Macaca mulatta: one gene and its partners. The main gene of each other region encodes a partner of the protein of the gene in region 5 in a complex. Links are inferred from orthologs where the notes say so. Each region holds a gene or a part of one and is shown on either strand. Other genes may lie near its edges.

Region 1 (4,390 bases), on a different chromosome or scaffold from region 5:
GCACTTTGGGAGGCCAAGGTGGGAGGATATTTAGGAGGCTACTCAGGAGGCTGAGGTGGGAGGATCACTTGAGCCCAGGAGGTCAAGGCTGCAATGAGCCTTAATTGTATCATGGCACTCTAGCCTGAGCAACAAGTGAGACCCTATCTCAAAAAAAAAAAAAAAAAAAGTAAATTTTACATGGTTTTTACAATAAAAATTTTTAATTAAAAAACGGTATCAATATTGAAGATATTGTGAAGAAACGGTAATCTTCATGCATTGCTACTGAGAACACAAAATGGTAAAACTATTTTGGAAAAGTTTGACAATTTTTTATGTTAAACACAACACTTAGCATATGACTCTGCAACTCTACTCCTAGGTATCTACCCAAGAGAAATGAAAATATATGTCCACATAAAGACTTATACACAAACATTAACAGCAGCATTATTTATAATAGCCCAAATCTGGGAAAAAAAAACAAACCAAATGTCCTCCAACTAGTGAGTGAATAAACAAATCATGGTATAGCCATACAATGGAATACCATTCAGTGATAAAATTGAATTAACTAGCTGGGTGTGGTAGCTCATCCCTGTAAGGCCAGAACTCTGGGAGGCCAAGGTGAGAGGATCCCTTGAGCCTAGGAGATTGACGGTGCTTTAGGCGAGGTCGCGCCACCACACTCCAGCCTGTTGACAGAGACCCTGTCTCAAAAAAAAAAAAAAAAAGAGGGAACTAATAAAAGCAACAAACAAGCCAGACACAAGATTATGACAGAAAGTATCAGTGACTGCCCTGGGTGAGGAGGGGTTAGGCTGCAACACAGCATGAGGGAACTTTTTGGGTAATGGAAGTGTTCTAAAACTTCATAGGGGTGGTGGGTATACAACTGTATACAATGTATGCTTAAAATGTATTATACTTTATTGTGTATAAATTATAGCTCAATGAAATAGTTTTTTAAAAACCCTGGGTTGATTAGATCTGTAAGTTACTAGCTATGTGACATTAACCAGAATGGTTTTTTTTCCTTCAGATATGCCTATTCTGTTTCATCAGTTTTCATTGCTCACAATCACACATTTTATTTTTAAAGTGAACAATTCTATAATGTACTGCAGTTATTGGGCTTACAGATAATTCTTACTTCCACTGGCAGAAATATATACTTATCTGCACTGCTACTTGCTCTATCTCGTAAGATTGTTGTGAAACATCAAATAAGATAACTGATGAGAAAGTTCTTTGGTAACTGTAAAATAGTATTACGCAACTATATAGTAGACTTTACATTTTTGAAAAACAGACGTGAAAATGTTTTTTCATATGAGCGACTTGAGACCCTTGTAAACCTAGGTACCCAAAGTCAATCTTTGCCCAGAAATAGAAAGCAGTTGTCTATTCAAATGCCACCTTTGAAATATCCTATCGAAACCTGTTTCCTACTGTCGCTTGAGTTAGTAGATGGCTCAATGTAGTATCATCTAAGCTGCACTTTCATTTTTCAAAGGAAAAACACTAAAGAAATGTTTAGAGAGAGACAGATGAGCATGACACATTTATTTTTCAGGGGAAAAGAGAGATACGTAGAAAAATGTCTTCAATTCCATATGCATTTACTGAATGTTTCCTGATGAGATCTGCATTAGCAAGAGAGAGTGAATAATTTTAAGAATAGCAAAATTTCTTAAACCAGTGTGGCACAATCATTTCAACTTTGCCTGTTCCAAAATTTGACAGATTCTCTCTTTTTTTGTTGTTTCTACTACTGTTGTACAACTGGGCTCTTTGCTATCCTACCAAGTTTGTGTGGTATTTGACATTTAGCCTAGTTATATTTGCAAGTTTCCACACTGCAATATTTACAAAGGCTGTTTGGACATAATCTCCTCAGGTTTAACGACTAAATTTCACCTTGAATTCAGGTTTATATCAAATCTTACAATTCTGAAAAGCTACTCTGCCAGCAACAGGTACTACAACGAAAAATCAACAAAGCCTGTACCACCACAAAATGCTCTGCTAACATTTTCAATTTTTAAGACTCCTTTTCAGTAACAGTTCTAAAGAGGAAGAATCTACGGCCAATTCCAAGGCCAGATTTCATTTAATGTTGTCTTGCTTCAGTAGTAACTCTAAACTCAAGTTTCACATTTCTCCTTCGATAACATTAAGGTCGCTCGGTCCGGTTACCGCACACCTCCAATTTTAGCGTCCAAGAAACCTGAAAGAACGGCACCTTGCCTACTTGCTCCTCCAGCCTTCTCTCAACTCAGAAGCTTGGCCAAACGTGCCGCTCTCTCCACAACGCCAACGGAGCTGGAACGCAGCGCCCGGAGGACAACTGGTCACGGGGAGGAGGGGAGAACTTCGCCGCCCGGAGTACGGCGGCTGAGGTCCAATCCAGCCCGCGCCCAACTCTACTCGGTGCCAGGAAGGCGTGTGGACCCGAAGTCTCAGGCCGCGGTGCTAGATCCGGAGGAGCAGAGTCGCGCGTGGCTGGGGTCAGGTAGTAAACAAACCGACGGGAGAAGGGGGAAGGGGCAACGGCGAGGCGGGTGGGGTAAGAGAAGAGGTAGGACCTCGCTCCAACCCTTCAGCGCGAGCCAGCAGCCGGCTCCACCCCACCGAGGACCAGATGCTGGTCTCGGCGCGGCGCTTCCGCTTGGGTCGGAAAACCGAAGGCCCCAACACCCCTGGAGCCCAGAGTCCACAAGGCCATCGGCTCCGCGACCCCCGCCCCACAGCGCCCTACCTGAACCCGCAATCTGGATCCCGGGCGTCGCGGCCGGGCGCGCCCAGCCCGGTCTTCTTGCTGAAGAGCTTCTGGAACAGCGTAGGGGCCATGCTCCCCACGGCCAGGCAGGGGTCGCTCCGCTGGGCGCTTGGTAGGCCCCTGCTCCTAGAGCCGCCCCGCCACCCCCATGGGCGCCTCAGTCATATGACAGAAATTAGTCACTTCAAACGGCCACGGCGCGCGGGGCGGGGCGCGAGGCAAGGCCGGCGCTCATTGGCTGGAGGTGGGCCGCATCACGTGGCGGCGCGCGGAGCAGGGGCAAGGCGGGGGCGTGGGGTGGAGCTACCTCCATTAGGCGCACTGGCGTTTCCCGTCACGTGGCAGCTCACGGGGCGGGGCGTGTGCCGAGAGGACAAGACTGGAAGGTGGCTAGGGATGTGTAGGGGGAGTAGGCTCAGTCTCGATCCTCCTCTGTGAGGCTGTCGGCTACCATCAGAGGCTGCGCCAGGGTGGCGCGGGGACGATGCCAGGAGCCTTGGAGTGCAGAAGCCTTCGACTCCCCGCACCCACAGAGTTGCGTAGGGAACCATGGGCAACCTATTCTCCCTTGTCAGCCCCTCCTTAGCTTCTGCGGCTTCACACCTCCATTCCGCGCCGGGGAGAGTCTGGCGGCCCCTGGAGCACGGAAGGCGCACGAGCGTACCCGTGGGGCCTCGGCCAAGGCTGGACTTTGAGCCCAGGACCCCAGGCCCGCCCTTAGAAGGCCGCTCCGGCCCGCGAGAGGTCTGGGATCTGGACAGCGCGGGGGCTGGCTCACAGGGACTGGTGGAGGAACCTGCCGGGACCCCTGCCACAGCCATGGCTCCCCGCAAAGACGACCTCGGGCAGGGACTGCGGGCAGAGTTTGTACTAGTGCCTCAAACCCTGACATCAGGAATTAGTCTCGTGGAAGAGCTAGCGATTGGAGGCTCAGGAGTTAGGCTGTTTCCTTGGTAACCAACAAAATCAGGTGAAACCAACGAAGTCAGGAAGCCTAAAGACATGTATGTACAGATATCTAAACTTTTACGCTAATTATTTAGATTTTTAATCTATCTTAATGGTTAGGTGTGAAGAAGGGAGGAACTGTGGAATTTTAACCAAGTTACAGGGAAGAAACGCTTTCTAAAAAAAGAAAAACGTTGCTCACATGTGACCTCACAGTCTTATTTAACCCATGGAACCAAAATATACCAGAGTTTGGAGCAAACTAATCTTATAAATTTTCAGCACCCCCATCCATTCACTCACTCCCCCTCCAGGATAACGAAGCTTGTACAATGGGATGCAATCCTCAGAGAAATTTAGGAAATAACTTGTATATGGTTGGAAGGCTGGATAAAAATACTTTGGGCAGGCGTGGTAGCTCACGTCTGTAATCCCAATACTGCAAGGCAGAGGCAAGCAGATCGCTTGAGCTCAGTAGTTCCAGACCAGCTTGGTCAACAGTAAGACCCCATCTCTACAAAAAAAATTTTTTTAATTAGCCAGGTGTGGCCGGGCGCTGTGGCTCACGCCTGTAATCCCAGCACTTTGGGAGGCCATGGCGAGTGGATCACCTGAGGTCAGGAGTTCCCAACCAGCCTGACCAACATGGTGAAACCCCATCTCCAAAAAATTAGCCAG
Region 2 (3,677 bases), on a different chromosome or scaffold from region 5:
CTTCTGCAATATTCACCTTCTCTCTACAGACACTTTCTGCTGAACCATTTGAAAGCAAGCTATAGGGCCCTCGACATGGCAGCACCCAGGAGAACAAGGGCATCTCCACAGCTGAGACCATGACTGCAGCCAGGAGGGCCCGGATGGATGCACCTGATATCCAGCCGCGTGCTCAAGCCCGGGGCACCTGCCTGCTTGACGGCTGCTGTTCTTTGGATCCAGGAGCTACTACAGGACCATGATTGTTTTTCGTTGCCATGTCCTTTTTCTTTCTTTCTCTTTCCTTCCTTTTCTTTTCCTTTCTTTCCTTCCTCCCTGCTCTTTCTCTCTCCTTCCTTCCTTCCTTCTTTTTCTTTCTTTTTTTTGAGACGGAGTCTCGCTCTGTCGCCCAGGCTGGAGTGCAGTGGTGCAATCTCGGCTCACTGCAAGCTCTGCCTCCTGGGTTCACGTCATTCTCTGGCCTCAGCCTCCCGAGTAGCTGGGACTACAGGCGCCCGCCACCACGCCCAGCTAATTTTGTTTTCGTATTTTTAGTAGAGACAGGGTTTCACCTTGTTAGCCAGGATGGTCTCCATCTCCTGACCTTGTGATCCGCCTGCCTCGGCCTCCCAAAGTGCTGGGATTACAGGAGTGAGCCACCGCGCCCAGCCCCTTTTTCTTTCTATTTTTTTGAGATGGAGTCTTGCTCTGTCACCTAGGCTGGAGTGCAGTGGTACGATCTCAGCTCACTGCAAGCTCCACCTCCCGGGTTTACGCCACTCTTCTGCCTCAGTCTTCAGAGTAGCTGGGACTACAGGCGCCTGCCACCACGCCCAGCTAAATTTTTGTATTTTTAGTATAGATGGGGTTTCACCGTGTTAGCCAGGATAGTCTCGACCTCCTGACCTCATGATCCGCCCACCTCAGCCTCACAAAGTGCTGGGATTACAGGCGTGAGCCACCACACCCGGCCTGTCCTTACTCTTTAACCTAGAACAGCCTCTCCCCACACCCCATTATTAACTTCCGTGACACTGACACCTTAGGAAAGTCCAGCCTGCTGTCTCATGGCTTCTAAGAAGACAAACACAGCTTTGAAACACAGTGTGAGAGAGAGACCACAATACCACGTTTCACCAAACCCCAACAGCCTCAACGCAGTCCCACCTCCAGAGGAATTCCAGAGCCCTTCCAACCTTCATCGACATAAGCAATGGACAAGGAAGGTTTCAGCCGAATGCAGGATTTTGATGGAATGAGTGTTTTCATCCAGAAGCCCCAAGGACATCTGCCATGAAATCAGTCTCACTCCATTTTCCAAAACAAGTAACTCTCTTCTGATGAATCAGTGCTCATTGGAAAAACACACACAGGAGAATCTTGTAAGAAGGCAGCCTGCCCTTGTAATCCAGCAACCCGCACCCCTCTCTCCCGGCATCTGACTCGCTATACCCGGAGGCAACGCTGTTAGATTCTGTCATGTCTGGCAGGCACACATGTACATACATCACCCTAAACACACACTGCCTATTTCTTCTAATTAATCATATTCCATGGTTTGGCTGCTGTTTACTACTATGGTTTGTATGCAGGTTCTCTCTTTTTTTTTTTTTTTTTGAGATGGAATCTCACTCTGTCACCCAGGCTGGAGTACAGTGGCGCAATCTCGGCTCACTGCAACATTTGCCTCCCAGGTTCAAGTGATTCTCCTGCCTCAGCCTCCCGAGTAGCTGGGACTACAGGTGCACACCACCATGGCCAGCTAATTTTTATATTTTAGTAGAGATGGGGTTTCACTATGTTGGCCAGGCTGGTCTCGATCTCCTGACCTCGTGATCCGCCCCCCTCGGCCTCACAAAGTGCTGGGATTACAAGTGTGAGCCATCGCACCCAGCCAAGAATGACCATGACTTTCAATGGGCAGGGTCCAGGCTGCATCCAAACCAATTATGGTGCTGTTCAATGCCTTTAGGAGGTTCTTAGAGGATTAGAGGACCATGGGATGCCAACTATGTGGGCTTTTCTTTGAAGATACTTAGGTCATCATTGAAAGGTGAGCACTGATCCTAGGGCTAATACCCCCGACGCCCCGTGCCCCCAGCCACCCACCGAGGAGGCTGTCAGTCACTTCCTGCAGGGTTTTGAAGATGCAGGGTCCAGAGGCAAGGCGTGTGGGCAGGGACGGCTGGGCTCTCCTCCCGAGTTCCTGATGTGCTTTGCCCCTGCTGCCTACCTGCCTCATGTGCCGGAGGGACTTGAAGACTGGCAGCTTCCGGGGCTGCCAGCTCCCACAGCCTGAGAGAGAGGAGGACTCTGCTGTGCCCTGGGTCAGCTCCCGCCCTTCTACACCCTCCGTCAACACAGGGGCTTTCTCTTCCTCTTCAGCCTCAGAGTTGTCCCAGCTTTCTGATTCCTCTTCTAAATCTGCAAGACAGACAACACGGACAGTTACAAATACAAACAGTCTTGTCCCCTGACTTCAGCCCAAGGCACATGGTGGGCTGAGCCAGTCAGTGTAGATTCCTGGCTGCGGCCAGGTCCCATGCTCCCTGCTGCTCTGGGAGCCCTGGGGTGGGAGGGAGGGCTCAGTTGCTGTCTACTTAGCCCAGGGCACCACACATCTCTCTTAGAAGCACCTACAGAAAGACCGTCAGCTGTTCTTTGCTGGTGAGAAAACTCAAACCAGTGAGAAAAACGCCAACAGTGTGTCTACGGAGCACACCCAGTCGGCCACAGTTCTTGAGGATCTACACATTGTTTCTTTTTTTTCCACTTTTTTTTTTGAGACGGAATCTTGCTCTGTCGCCCAGGCTGGAATGCAATGGCACCATCTCGGCTCACTGCGACCTCTGCCTCCCGGGTTCAAGTGATTCTTCTGCCTCAGCCTCCTGAGTAGCTGGGACTATAGGCGCTTGCCACCACACCTAGCTAATTTTTGTATTTTTAGTAGAGACAGGATTTCACCATATCTGCCAGGCTGGTCTCGAACTTCTGACCTCATGATCCGCCTGCCTCGGCCTCCCAATCCACTTTTATTTTAGATTGAGGGCGTACGTGTGCGGCTGTTACAAGGGTATGCTGCGTGGTGCTAAAGTTTGGGCTTCTATGAATCCTGTCACCCAGACAGTGAACCACAGGAAGTAATATGCCCAGATAGTATCCGATAGAAAGTATTTCAGCCCTTGCTCCCCTCCCTACCTCCCTCCCTCCCTCCTTCTGGAGTCCCCAGTGTCTACTATTCCCATCTTCTTTGAGACACGGTCTGGCTCTGTTGCCCAGGCTGGAATGCAGTGGCACGATCGCGGCTCACTGCAGCCTCAATCTTCTGGGATCAAGTGATCCTCCCAATGAAGCCTTCCAAGTAGCTGGGACTACAGGCATGTGCCACCACGCCCAGCTACTTTTCATATTTTTTGTGGAGGCTGGACCTCCCTATGTTGCTCAGGCTGGTCTCAAACTCCTGAGTTCAAGCAATCCGCCTGTCTCGGTCTCCCAAGTGCTGGGATTCCAGGCATGCACCAGTGCCCAACTTCACTCTTCTTTATGGCTGCATCCAACATCATTTCATTTAGTCCTCTCAGCTGTTCTGACGTCAGCACTATTATCTCCATTTCGCAGATGAAGAAATGAGTATTTGCCATTTCAATGAATCTTCATGGAGCCCTCACAAATGACGACATCTCCATTTCATATCACGA
Region 3 (4,224 bases), on a different chromosome or scaffold from region 5:
CTCCAGCCTGGGCAACAGCGTGAGACTCCGTCTCAAAAAAAAAAAGAAAAAAAAAAAAAAAGAAGGTTGATCAGCATTAAAAAAGAAAAAAGAAAAAATGAAGTATATTACATGTAGTAGGAAAAGTATTGTTTCATGACTTTTGTTTTAGTGGGTATATGTGTGTGTTGAGCTGTGACTTAAAATGTCTTTCTTAAAAAATTATTTCCTATTTATTTATTTATTTATTTTTAAAAAAAGTTTTTGTAGAGATGAGGTCTTGTTAGGTCACCAAGGCTGGTCTCAAACTCCTGGCCTCAAGTATCCTCCAGCCTCAGTCTGTGTTGGGATTACAGGAGTGAGACACTGCGCTCAGCCTTAAAATGTATTTGTTTTTTGTTTGTTTGTTTGTTTTGGTTTTTTTTTTGAGATGGAGTCTCGCTCTGTTGCCCAGGCTGGAGTGCAATGGCGTGATCTCAGCTCACTGCAACCTCCACCTCCTGGGTTCAAGTGATTCTCCTGCCTCAGTTTCCTTAGTGGCTGGGATTACAGGCACATGCCACCATGCCTGACTAATTTTTTGTACTTTTAGTAGAGACAGGGTTTCACCATGTTGGCCAGGCTGGTCTTGAACACCTGACCTCATGATCTGCCCGCCTCAGCCTCCCAAAGTGCTGGGATTACAGGCATGAGCCACCGTGCCGGCCCTTTAAAATATATTTCTTATGGCTGGGTTGTGGTCAAAACGTTTGAAAGCTATTTCCTTATAGCACCAGCTCTAGGCATCCAGTAGGAGTCTTATGTTGAACTAAAAATGGCATTGGTTGTGCAGGGGGTAGGGGAGAGTAGGCAGTTGAGTTACTATGAAGATCCTTCCTGGAGAGTTCACCCTCTGGCCGATTTGAAAAAAACAAAAGTAAGTTCGGCAAACTTTTACTAGGTATTCATTGTATGCCAGGAACCAAGCACTGCACTCCCTGCCTCTCTGACCTTATCTCCTACTTAACCCTCCTCCATTCTCATGCAACTCCAGCCATACCAACCAACCCTGTTGATCCTTGAGCAGGCATAATTCTGCCTCAGGGCCTTGGTACTTGCTGTTCTGTCCAAAATATTCTTCCCTCAGATAGCCACATGGCTTGTCCCCCACCTTTCTTCACATCTTTGATCAAATATCACCTTTCCAGTGAGACTGTCCCTGACACATACGCCCAACAAACTCATACTCTTTAACTTCCCTGCTTTCTCTCCATTGCAATTTCAATACCTAATATATACTACATATTTTACTTATTTTAAAAAATGTGGCCGGGCACAGTGACTCACACCTGTAATCCCATCACTTTGGGAGGCCGAGGTGGGTGGATCACTTGAGCCAGGAGTTTGAGACCAGCCTGGGCAACATGGCAAAACCCAGTCTCTGCAAAAAATCCAAAACTTAGTGAGGTGTGGTGGTGCATGACTGTAGTCACAGCTACTCAGGAGGCTGGGGCAGCAGGATCACCTGAGCCCAGGGAGGTCGAGGCTGCAGTGAGCTGTGATCGCATCACTGTGTAAGATTTATTAGGTCTGGGGGTTTTGTCTTTCTGTTTGCTGTTTTTTTTCCCTAGTCCTGAGAACACTGCAAGGACCTAAATATTTGTTAACTGAACAGATACTAGGAAGTTCACAGTCTAATGGCGACTTCCCCTTTCTGGACTTCATTTTCCTTTCTTTGTAACCTTAAGGGGTTGGACTAGGGTCTGGAGACTGCCATGGTTCTGTGAGTCGGTGAAGCTGGGATGACAACACTTTGTGTTTGCACGTCATTCTACTGTTTATACCCATTATTTCATTTGACCTTCACAACAACCCACGAGGGAAGCGGGGAGAGGGAAATTGTCTTCTCCTTAGACATGAGGTAAGGAAGCTGAGAGAGGTTAAGCGACTTACCCAAGGTTCCACAACTGATAAGTGGATGGCTGAGACCAGAACCCAAGTCAGACCTCTCAGGTCCAGGGCTCCTTCCTCACCACCACTTGATGAATAGGGTCCTGCCTATTACAAATGCTGCTGCAGACCAACTCTTAGTAATCTTCCGGAGATCCTGTCCCTGCCCCTCCAACCATCCAGGATGGGGTCCAGGTCGCCCCCTTGGGATCCCCTTGGGGGACAGGGGAAGTCTGGCTCCCCTCTCCATACCATGCAGTCCATGAGGATGAATTTGAGATTGTCTTCATTAAATGCTTGGTTCCCGTTCCGGTCGTAGGCGGCCCAGATGTTACTGGCTATGGCAGCGGTGACCCGGGCGTCAGTGTCCCCGTAACCAGAGTAGGCCAGCAGTGATCCCTCGTTATTCAGCAGCCTGGTGAGGGGCGGGGAGGGATAACGATGTGCTCAGCGCGGGGAGTAAAACGTCTGGGTTTCCATCTCAAGTCCCGCCACGGGCACATCCAGCAAGGCTCTCGGCTGAGTGTGTCCCGGAACGTGCCCTAAGCACCCAGCACACCGGCCTCCCTTTTCGAGAGGTGACCTCCCGGCCGGTACCCCCAGCCACTGCCCCCTCTGACGCCTCCTCCCTTCCGGGCGATCCTTCCCCACCCCTCCCTCAGGGAGTCGCACGCCGCTCCACTGCAGCGCGCGCCGCTGGGGTCCGTGGTCCGCACTCACAGGGTGCTCTGGACGCCTCCAGTGTTGGCTTGGCTTAGCACCTGGGTCAAAGCCTTGGGGCGCAGCATGCCTACCGCTCCTAACCCTGGGTTTTTGCACCCAGATCCTCCGAGATGCCTCCCGCGGGCCGCTGCCCGCTGCTTCCCGTAGTCCCGTTGGCCTGCTCCGGGATGCCCTGGGAGTTGTAGTTTCCTCGCCTGGCTATTGTGGTTCCGACTCAACACCGCCCCGCCGCGGGGGTCTCTGGGAATCGTAGTTCCTCGTGACCTCGCGAGGCACCATGGGAACTATAGTTCGCCTTTCCAGGCGGACCACGCGGTTGTGGGGGCGGAAAAGAGCGGGAGTGAAAGGACAGCTGCAGCGCTGGAAGGACATTTAACCCCTTCGGGGAGAAAGGAATCAACGTGTCCGCTTGGCAGTCCACGATTCAATAATTATACTACATCCTCATATTTGTCAGGCGCGCCTTTGGTTACTTTCAAAACAGTTTTCTCCGTTATGCACAATTCTGTGCGATGAGGCGAGAGGTACTATTATTATCTTGAGGAAATCAAGGCTCTGAAAGGCCACGCAGCCAAAACCCAGCTCCCTGGAACCGTTCGCAACAGACCATTTAGGCCGCGACCCTCGGGGCTATAGGGTCAGTCCTAGAGCTGAGATCCTAAGTGGACGTGCTTGGTGGGAAACCCAACCTCCAAGTCGGGAAAGGCCCCTGGCCTGGAAGGGACTTGGGGCTTCCAAGAAAGACCAAGTTATCACAGGGAACGGAGATAAAGCGGCGACACACAAAGTCCTTTGTCCCGGAGCAGAGTTAGCCGCGGAGGGGGCGGGGAGGCTTTGGGCCGGAGGGGACGGCGGCACGGCTCGGGCGAGCAGCGTTGGGCCGCGGTCTCCCGGGGAGTTCGCCCTCGCCCCCGCAGTGAAGGGCACGTCCCTTCCCCCGCCCAGAGCCTCCCCAGGAGCCCCAGCTTGGCGAGACCCTGGCCGGATTCCGGACCTGGGGCTTGGCCCTGGGCGGACCCCGCTGCAGTGGCCCCCCCGGTCCGCCCGGGGCGCTGTGGCTGCGGCTGGTCTGGAGGGGGCGGTGAAGCCTCAGGGAGGGGAGGGGAGAGGAGGGGAGGGGAGGGGAGGGGAGAGGTGGAGAGAGGGGAGTGTTGGAGGCGCAGGAGCCGAGCCGGGCCGGCCGGGCGGGCGGGGAGGAGGAGGAGCCGGGCGGGCTGGCGGGCGGCCGGGTGGCGGCGGCGGCATGGCGGAGCCGAGCGGGGCCGAGACGAGGCCCCCTATTCGGGTCACCGTCAAGACCCCTAAGGACAAGGAGGAAATTGTGATCTGCGATCGAGCCTCGGTCAAGGAGGTAGTACAGCAGGCGGGAGGCGGGGGGAGCGCGGAGGAGGGGTCTGCGAAGAGATGGGGGCCTCCCTGACGGTCTGGCGTCCTGGAGGGCCCCGGAGAGGAGAGCGGGGGCCAGCTGGGACTCCGAGGAGCTGAAGGGAAGGAGAGTCGGGTAGGGGGCGCCCTGCGAGGGGAGATATTGGGGAGCGTGGCGCGTGTTGGGGGGCGGGTTTTGCCTTGTGGCCTGGGCTGGGGGCGTGGTGG
Region 4 (4,399 bases), on a different chromosome or scaffold from region 5:
CAGCCCCAGGGATGAGCTTAAGCTGCCTCCTACCCTTCAGGAACCTCAAAAGATTTACAGAACCTCAGGGTCTTGATTTGAGGGGTTATAAGAGGTACGAGATCTGGCGACTTCTGCGATCCCTTGGATCAGGAGATGGGGCATGGGGTGAGCCAAGGTGATGGGGTGACTGTAATGTACTCATTGATACGCAAGTTTTTTGTAAGCAAGGCCATGCCTTGGGCCACAGGTAAGAGTCAGAACCTGTCATTGTGCTCTAGGAACTCCCAAGTTTGGTAGGTGAGACTGACCCAGGAACATAGAATATAGTGTGATCACTATTGGATGTTCCACGACTACAGGGACTTTGGCTGTTTTGTGAACTGATGCATATCCAGATATAACAGTGTGTGGCACATAGTAGACGCTCAGCAAATATTTGTTAATAGATGCATGAATTAACACTGGATGAGGATTAAGCATAGAGAGCTGGACATGTCCAGAGAATGGGGTCAGAGAAGGTAATCAGGAGGACATTGTACTGAGTCTCGAAGACAGTAGGCAGACCAGGCTGCATGTGCAAAGTCCAGTAGATCAATCAGGAAACATCATTTCTCTATGTCCAGTGAAACAGATTGCTCACCCCTCCACCCCCTCACCCCTCACCTCAGAACATGCAGTGGCAGAGAGGTGTCAGGCTCTGCGTGACTTTGATATGTCAGATGGGTAATGTGCCAAAACAAGATTTGAGGGTGGGCGCATTTCACACACGCGGAATCACACGCGCATGAACAACAAATGGATCACTATACAATTTTGGACGGACTTGGACCTGTGTTCAGGGCCCAAGGGAAGACATGGGGGAGGAGGGGCGTTTAGGAAAAGAGAACTGATGGTCAGCTTTGTGCGTTAGATTTACTATGGGTCCTGTTAAAAAAAAGGCAGAATTAAAGATAAAAGCCTGAAGGCAGAGAGGTCAGTGAGGTGACTTCTATCTCCTCCACCAGGATTTATCTCCGCTCCGCGTCAGCATGTGAAGGAGTATAAGGTCCCTTCTTCCTGTAAGTCGCAGATCCCCAGCCCAGGTGCAGAATACACCCTCCGTGTATTCACCCCCAGCCCAGCTGGGCGATACACCCTCTGTTCCCCTACTGGGTACCGGTCATCTGGATCTTCTGTGTGTGCACCCAGGCTGTACGATCTAGGAGCGTCAGGCCTGGATCCCACTCGCCCCTCGCATGGCATTTAGAAGAGTATATCACGAGGGCATATAAGGGCATTTGGTACGAGTTCGCTCAATGGCCCAGAGAAGTGGCCTAGTGGCCACGAGAACGCATAACACTATTCACGACGGCCACTTCTGCCAGTTTAGAGACTGGAAAGATGAAGTCATGTGATCCGCCCCTCCCTTTCCTCGCTTCACTTGCCTGCGTGTCCGGTTACGCCTTCCTATTGGTTGACAACGATCACGCGCTAGCGGGCGGGACCGGAAGCCGGGGTATTGCCTGAGGCGGCCCAGCGGCTCCGGGAGAAGGGATACTGGGGGTGGCGGCGGGTGGTTGCCTGCGGGAGGCAGTTGCGGGTCATGTGACCGGAAGGGCTCCTGACGGACGCCGTCCCTCCTCGGCGCGGCCTGAGCGCCCGGCCTGACCCCTGCCATGGGGTGCTGCTACAGCAGCGAGAACGAGGACTCGGACCAGGTGCGGCCGCGGCAGGCGGGGCTCGGGAATGAGGGCTAAGACCCTGGGGCTTGGGGCCCCAGAAAGAAATCTGCGGAGAACGGGCCAGGACTGCAGGGCTCGATGAATACGGAGGCCTGGAGGGGACAGATTACACAGGAGACGCCAAGCCGGACTCCTACCCCAGTTAAAGCCCCAGCTTTCTACGCGGTCCCCGCCTCGGGGTGTACAGGCAGCCGCCTGTCCGGCTCGCTCCCACCACTTCCGTTTGCTCCTACCTTCAAAACTTTCCAGATTCAAGGATCCTCAGTCTAGGTCCCCGGGAAATACTCCCTTCCCAGCTTCCTGTCTTCTCTGTATTAGTGGGTTTTGCGAATCCATTGCAGGGGTGGGTAAGCTGAGGCCCTGAGTTAGGCTGTCCTGCGATGAATCAGGAATTCATGTATCGTCTTAGTCCCTGGGGTTGCAGAAGGAAGGTCGCTGCTAGTTTAGGGCCAGAGGACGATTCTGGAAGTTGGTGGCCTTTGAGTTGGCCAATGAAGGATTTAATGGATACAGTGAGGACATCGGGACATGGGGGAAATTGTCTGGGAAGCAACAAAGAGGGTTTAGCTTTGACTAGATTGTGGTAAAAGAGAAATGGAGCGGGAAGTTCATTTGGGTCTGAGTTTGGCTTGCCTCAGTGCAGTCTGCCTGGGGCCTGAGGGTTCCTTTAGCTGGAGACATGCCTGTTCTGAGAATTTGGCTGTAGATCTGATCCCTCTGACGAAAGGCTTAGGCTGGGGAGACCTGTACAGTTTTAAATTCTCCCTCTTCCTCTTAGTGCATTCTCACTTCTCTCCACATTCTAATCCCTGCCCCGCCTGGCCTGACATTCAAGGATGAAGTCACAAGTTGCTGTCCACTCTTTTTTGATCGTCTCTAACCCTGGATTCTACATTTGAACATATAGTAGACCTGAGAAAGTAGAAAGGTTTCAAGTAGCTCACAGTCTAATAGGGGAGATGGTCACAAAAATAGATTATATCACTGGTACTTGGGAAGTAGTTATTTCTTCAGTGAACGTATTTTGGATTAAGGGCTTAAGCTTAGGAAAATGTCATTTGTGGCCGGGCGCGGTGGCTCAAGCCTGTAATCCCAGCACTTTGGGAGGCCGAGACGGGTGGATCATGAGGTCAGGAGATCGAGACCATCCTGGCTAACACGGTGAAACCCCGTCTCTACTAAAACAGGCAAAAAAAAAACTAGCCGGGTGAGGTGGCGGGCGCCTGTAGTCCCAGCTACTCGGGAGGCTGAGGCAGGAGAATGGCGTGGACCCGGGAGGCGGAGCTTGCAGTGAGCTGAGATCCGGCCACTGCACTCCAGCCTGGGAGACAGTGAGACTCCGTCTCAAAAAAAAAAAAAAAAAAGAAAATGTCATTTGTATGGGAAGCAAGGGTCGCTTCTGGTTCTCAATTCTTCATACACCCAATGAACACATATTTCCTTTGCTCTGTGTTAGGCATGTGTCATGCCTAATACCTCTCACTTCACCTCCACCTTTTTGAGAAAGAGACAACAATAACCCTGCCTACTGGGAGAGCTGTGGCCTAGTGGGAAATTGTCCCTTAAAGCATAATGTGGACTCTTGCAGGGAATGAGTCAAGAAGGATTAATGCCTTATGAGAAAGGATACCAGCTTCTACTTGGAAGGGAGAGCTGGGCCTGCTGCTCTCCTGAATCTCTACCTTCTCCTTGGTGGGCTCTCCTTTCTGTTCCTAACACCCAGAGAAGATGTTTAATCACTGCTGGGTGATTTGAGGCCTCACGTAGCAAGAGCCGTAACCATCCACCTCCCAGAGTCCCTCTTTCAGTTCTTGGGCAGGCTCCTCTCCCACTCTCATCTCTGTCTCTTTATCACAATAAAAAATGTACAACACATTACAGTTTACAAAGGGCCGTGATAGTTATCTAATTTGACTCTTGCCAGACATCTGTCATATTAGTGTGGGTTATGTCTATTTAAAGGTGAGGAAAAAGTTCAGAGAAGCTAAGTGATTTGGCCAAGCTGGGAAGTGCTAATGCCCGGGTGTTCTGATGCCAAGCCATGTACTTTATCCATGGGGCCAAGCAGTCTCATCTATGCCCCTAGACCAGGTGGCCAGTCATGGGCAGGGTGCTATGTCTGTGCTAAGGTAGACAGTGAAACCCTGCCTCTTGGGTTACACTGACGCAGAGACAAACCTTGATGTGACAAACCTAACCCATGCTCCACTCGCACTTCGGGAGTGGGGTGATACTTGTCTACTCTGAAGGGGGTAGCATGGCCTCTTCTTTAAGTCTAGGTTTCAAGAAAACAACCTTGTTCCTCCCTTGATCTTAGCTGAAGGCTGAGAAGTGATCAGCCAGCCTTCTTCTTGAAGAACCCCTGATAGGGAAGAGACTACCCTGTCCTGCAGGAAGATCTGTCTGAAGTGGAGCTGGGAGAAGGACAGACACATAGGAAGCTAACTTGGGCCTCATTATGGAGCCAGCTTTCCTTAGAAATACATAGTTTTATCTTTGGCAAACATTTTGTCTTTTTAGCTCTTTTAATACTGAGCCTGTGTTTTAGGGAGGAAGGGTGTCTGGGAGTTTACAGAGGTGATGGGGCAAAGCCCACAGCTTCTGTCTTTTGCTGCTGGGAACTGGATCAAATTGCCTGAGGACACTTGGGCAACCTAGGCTTGAGAAAGAAGAGTAAGGTGAAAAGGCTGGGCCTC
Region 5 (2,893 bases):
TCTAAGTTTACAAAGTATCTTCCTCATTCCCTTTGAGTTCTTTCCCACCTCTGACATTCCCTCCCTCCCTCCTGCAGGGCTGAGATTAGAGGGTGGTGATGGCTAAGGGCCCCTGACAGTGACCGTCCTGTCTCAGGGGTTGGGGACAGGGCCAGGCAGGTGGCCTCCTGCCCCTCATGTTTACTTTTGCAGCCTGAAGCACTTTAAGTTGTTGTGGTTTTTTTTTTTTTTTTTGGTCTGTTCCTGTAACTTATTCTCCAACTATTGCTTCCAACTGAAATAAGACTATTAAATGCCTGTTCAGGAGGGAGAAGGATGACTAGTTTGTGTACTGATGGGAAGAGCAGAAGTCGCCAGGGCTCAGAGTGACTCCCTTCCCCTCCAGCTTTTTCTATTTCCCAGTTTTATAGCACACAGAGGCACCCCTGCCACACCCAACTTGGGCTAAAGTGCATGACTTTCTCCCCAGAAGGTGGAAGACAGACATGGGGTGTAATCATTCCCACACTAAACACACATGTCCCTGGGCTAGAGAACATCAGGCTCATGTTTATTAGGGAGGGAGAGAGGGAGCACAAAGGGAGGTCTCCTTGCCCTTGTTCTCCTTAACACAGCTCACAGTCTCCAAGCTTTGGCCCATCCAGGTAGGGGTAGGAGGTGGGCGAGCAGAAGGCCCTAGTTCTAGCAGCAAGCCAAGACTGACGGCTGTGCCTGCCTCATCACAGAGGCCCAGGACCCAATCCGCTTCTCCGACCCTCGCCCTCCGGCAGGCTCAGACATCAATGGGCTCCCGACCTCGGTTCTGCCGCTTCACCACAAACACCCTCTGTCCTGACACCGTCACCAGCAGCGTGTGTTCTCCAAAGACCACTGGAGGAGAGACACACCTTCCCCCGCCCCAGGAGAGGGAAGGGAGCACAGAGTTAGTGGGTGCAACAGACTCCATGGGGCGGGGCCACACGCACATTGGCTGGGATCAAAGCCAAAGAAATTCTATCGTTCCAGGCTCAGAGATTTGAAGATGAGTGGCCTCTGCTACATCTCCTTTCTCTTGCCTTCTCATTCACAATTCTAATACAGGGGAGTCCCAAAGGGAGGAAAGTGGCCAGACCAGAGACCCCAGGAGGAGATGGTGGGAGGCTGGGAGGAAGAAGAGAAGCCTCTGGAAGCGGCCCTTCCTCCCAGTACTACCACCAAGGGCAGGGACAGGGGCTCACCAGACAGGCGCTTGAAGGGCACATTCATGCCGTGGTGCAGCCGGAAACCGCAGGCCGTGCTGACCAGCTCAGAGATGGCACTGGCTGCTTGCTCGTCATTCTCCAGGTCCCCAGATGACTGCATGCAGACGGAGGAGGGAGGGGGCGAGCATTACGGCACAGGCTCGGGACGGAATTCCAGGCACAGTCCCCTTGGCTCTCACACTTAGACCATCTCCCCCTTGGCTTGCCAGTACCCTTGGGTCACCCAGCTTTGGAAAAAACCTGAAATCTCCCCCTATGTTGTCACCCTCCAGATGCCATCCTGTTTCCCGTAATACTGGACTTTCCCGGATGAGCAGCAGCTTATCCATCTCTCTTTTTTTTTTTTTCTTTTTTTTTTTTTGAGACGGAATCTCGTTCTGTCACCCACGCTGGAGTGCAGTGGTGCAATCTTGGCCTCTCGCGTTCAAGTGATTCTCCTGCCTTAGCCTCCCAAGTAGCTGAGATTACAGGTATATACCAGCATCACCACACCTGGCTAATTTTTTATATTTTTAGTAGAGACGAGGTTTTACCATATTAATCAGCTGGTCTCAAACTCTTGACCTCAAATGATCTGCCCGCCTCAGCCTTCCAAAATGCTGGGATTACAGACGTAAGCCACCGTGCTTGGCCATCCATGTCTTTATTGACCCATGCTTTTCTAACCCCGTGAAACTGGATTTCTCCCATGTCCCTGCCTATTTGATAAAACCACATTCTCCGAAATGAATGCCTGCCCACCACTGACCTGTTAATGGCTCCATCTTTTTCTCAATCTTCACACTTGCTGCCCTGTTTGCACAATCTCCAACATAAACATTCCGTTTGTCCTTGAATCCCTCCCTCTGTTGACCCCTAGAGTAAGTGATGGGACAGTGGCTTAGGGTTCCTCTTTTCTGGTGACTGTCTCAACTTCCTCTTCCCTCTTCCTTGATATGGGCCTCCACTAGATTTAGTTCCTTTTGCTGAGCTAGCAATATATATTAACTGCTATTTTACATCAAACTCAATGTCTAAAGTTGGGCCATCAAATTTCACCTTATCCTTATCCACCTCCTTTCCAGTCTACTTCCTTTTTTGATTTGTTTGTTTGTGTTTTGAGACGGAGTCTCACTCTATCGCCCAGGCTGGAGTGCAGTGGTGCACTCTTGGCTCGCTGCAACCTCTGCCTCCTGGGTTCAAGCAATTCTCCTGCATCAACCTCCCAAGTAGCTGGGATTACAGGCATGTGCCTCCATGCCAGGCTAGTTTTTTGTATTTTCAGTAAAGATGGGGTTTCACCATGCTGGCTAGGCTGGTCTCAAACTCCTGACCTCAAGTGATCCACCCACCTCAGCAGCCTCCGAAAGTGCTGGGATTATAGGTGTGAGCCACCACACAGGAACATGTTTCTTTTTTTTTTTTTTTTTTTTTTTTTGAGACGGAGTCTCGCTCTGCCGCCCAGGCTGGAGTGCAGTGGCCGGATCTCAGCTCACTGCAAGCTCCGCCTCCCGGGTTCACGCCATTCTCCTGCCTCAGCCTCCCGAGTAGTTGGGACTACAGGCGCCCACCACCTCGCCCGGCTAGTTTTTTGTATTTTTAGTAGAGACGGGGTTTCACCGGGTTAGCCAGGATGGTCTCGATCCCCTGACTTCGTGATCCGCCCGTCTCGG

The links.
Region 1: LAMTOR4 (region 5) and FNIP1 share a complex: the UniProt entries of both Homo sapiens proteins name them as parts of the lysosomal folliculin complex. The link is inferred for Macaca mulatta from reciprocal best matches to the Homo sapiens genes LAMTOR4 and FNIP1.
Region 2: LAMTOR4 (region 5) and FLCN share a complex: the UniProt entries of both Homo sapiens proteins name them as parts of the lysosomal folliculin complex. The link is inferred for Macaca mulatta from reciprocal best matches to the Homo sapiens genes LAMTOR4 and FLCN.
Region 3: LAMTOR4 (region 5) and LAMTOR2 share a complex: the UniProt entries of both Homo sapiens proteins name them as parts of the ragulator complex. The link is inferred for Macaca mulatta from reciprocal best matches to the Homo sapiens genes LAMTOR4 and LAMTOR2.
Region 4: LAMTOR4 (region 5) and LAMTOR1 share a complex: the UniProt entries of both Homo sapiens proteins name them as parts of the ragulator complex. The link is inferred for Macaca mulatta from reciprocal best matches to the Homo sapiens genes LAMTOR4 and LAMTOR1.

Annotation. Positions count from the first base shown.
Region 1 is NC_133411.1:140,714,535-140,718,924, forward strand, and holds the start of FNIP1 (folliculin-interacting protein 1), read right to left. Parts: upstream 2,932-4,390; 5' UTR 2,836-2,931; coding exon 2,744-2,835; intron 2,498-2,743; exon of another isoform or gene 2,357-2,497; intron 1-2,356. UniProt on the Homo sapiens protein: Binding partner of the GTPase-activating protein FLCN: involved in the cellular response to amino acid availability by regulating the non-canonical mTORC1 signaling cascade controlling the MiT/TFE factors TFEB and TFE3.
Region 2 is NC_133421.1:18,770,477-18,774,153, forward strand, and holds part of FLCN (folliculin), read right to left. Parts: intron 2,404-3,677; coding exon 2,213-2,403; intron 1-2,212. UniProt on the Homo sapiens protein: Multi-functional protein, involved in both the cellular response to amino acid availability and in the regulation of glycolysis.
Region 3 is NC_133406.1:110,879,398-110,883,621, forward strand, and holds the start of LAMTOR2 (ragulator complex protein LAMTOR2), read right to left. Parts: upstream 2,822-4,224; 5' UTR 2,697-2,821; coding exon 2,629-2,696; intron 2,324-2,628; coding exon 2,161-2,323; exon of another isoform or gene 1,143-2,160; intron 1-1,142. Other genes in the region: UBQLN4 (ubiquilin-4), read left to right, coding at 3,875-3,982. UniProt on the Homo sapiens protein: As part of the Ragulator complex it is involved in amino acid sensing and activation of mTORC1, a signaling complex promoting cell growth in response to growth factors, energy levels, and amino acids.
Region 4 is NC_133419.1:72,398,439-72,402,837, reverse strand, and holds the start of LAMTOR1 (ragulator complex protein LAMTOR1), read left to right. Parts: upstream 1-1,474; 5' UTR 1,475-1,637; coding exon 1,638-1,679; intron 1,680-4,399. UniProt on the Homo sapiens protein: Key component of the Ragulator complex, a multiprotein complex involved in amino acid sensing and activation of mTORC1, a signaling complex promoting cell growth in response to growth factors, energy levels, and amino acids.
Region 5 is NC_133408.1:47,471,183-47,474,075, reverse strand, and holds the end of LAMTOR4 (ragulator complex protein LAMTOR4), read right to left. Parts: intron 2,374-2,893; exon of another isoform or gene 1,572-2,373; intron 1,336-1,571; coding exon 1,218-1,335; intron 888-1,217; coding exon of another isoform or gene 871-887; coding exon 773-870; 3' UTR 530-772; downstream 1-529. UniProt on the Homo sapiens protein: As part of the Ragulator complex it is involved in amino acid sensing and activation of mTORC1, a signaling complex promoting cell growth in response to growth factors, energy levels, and amino acids.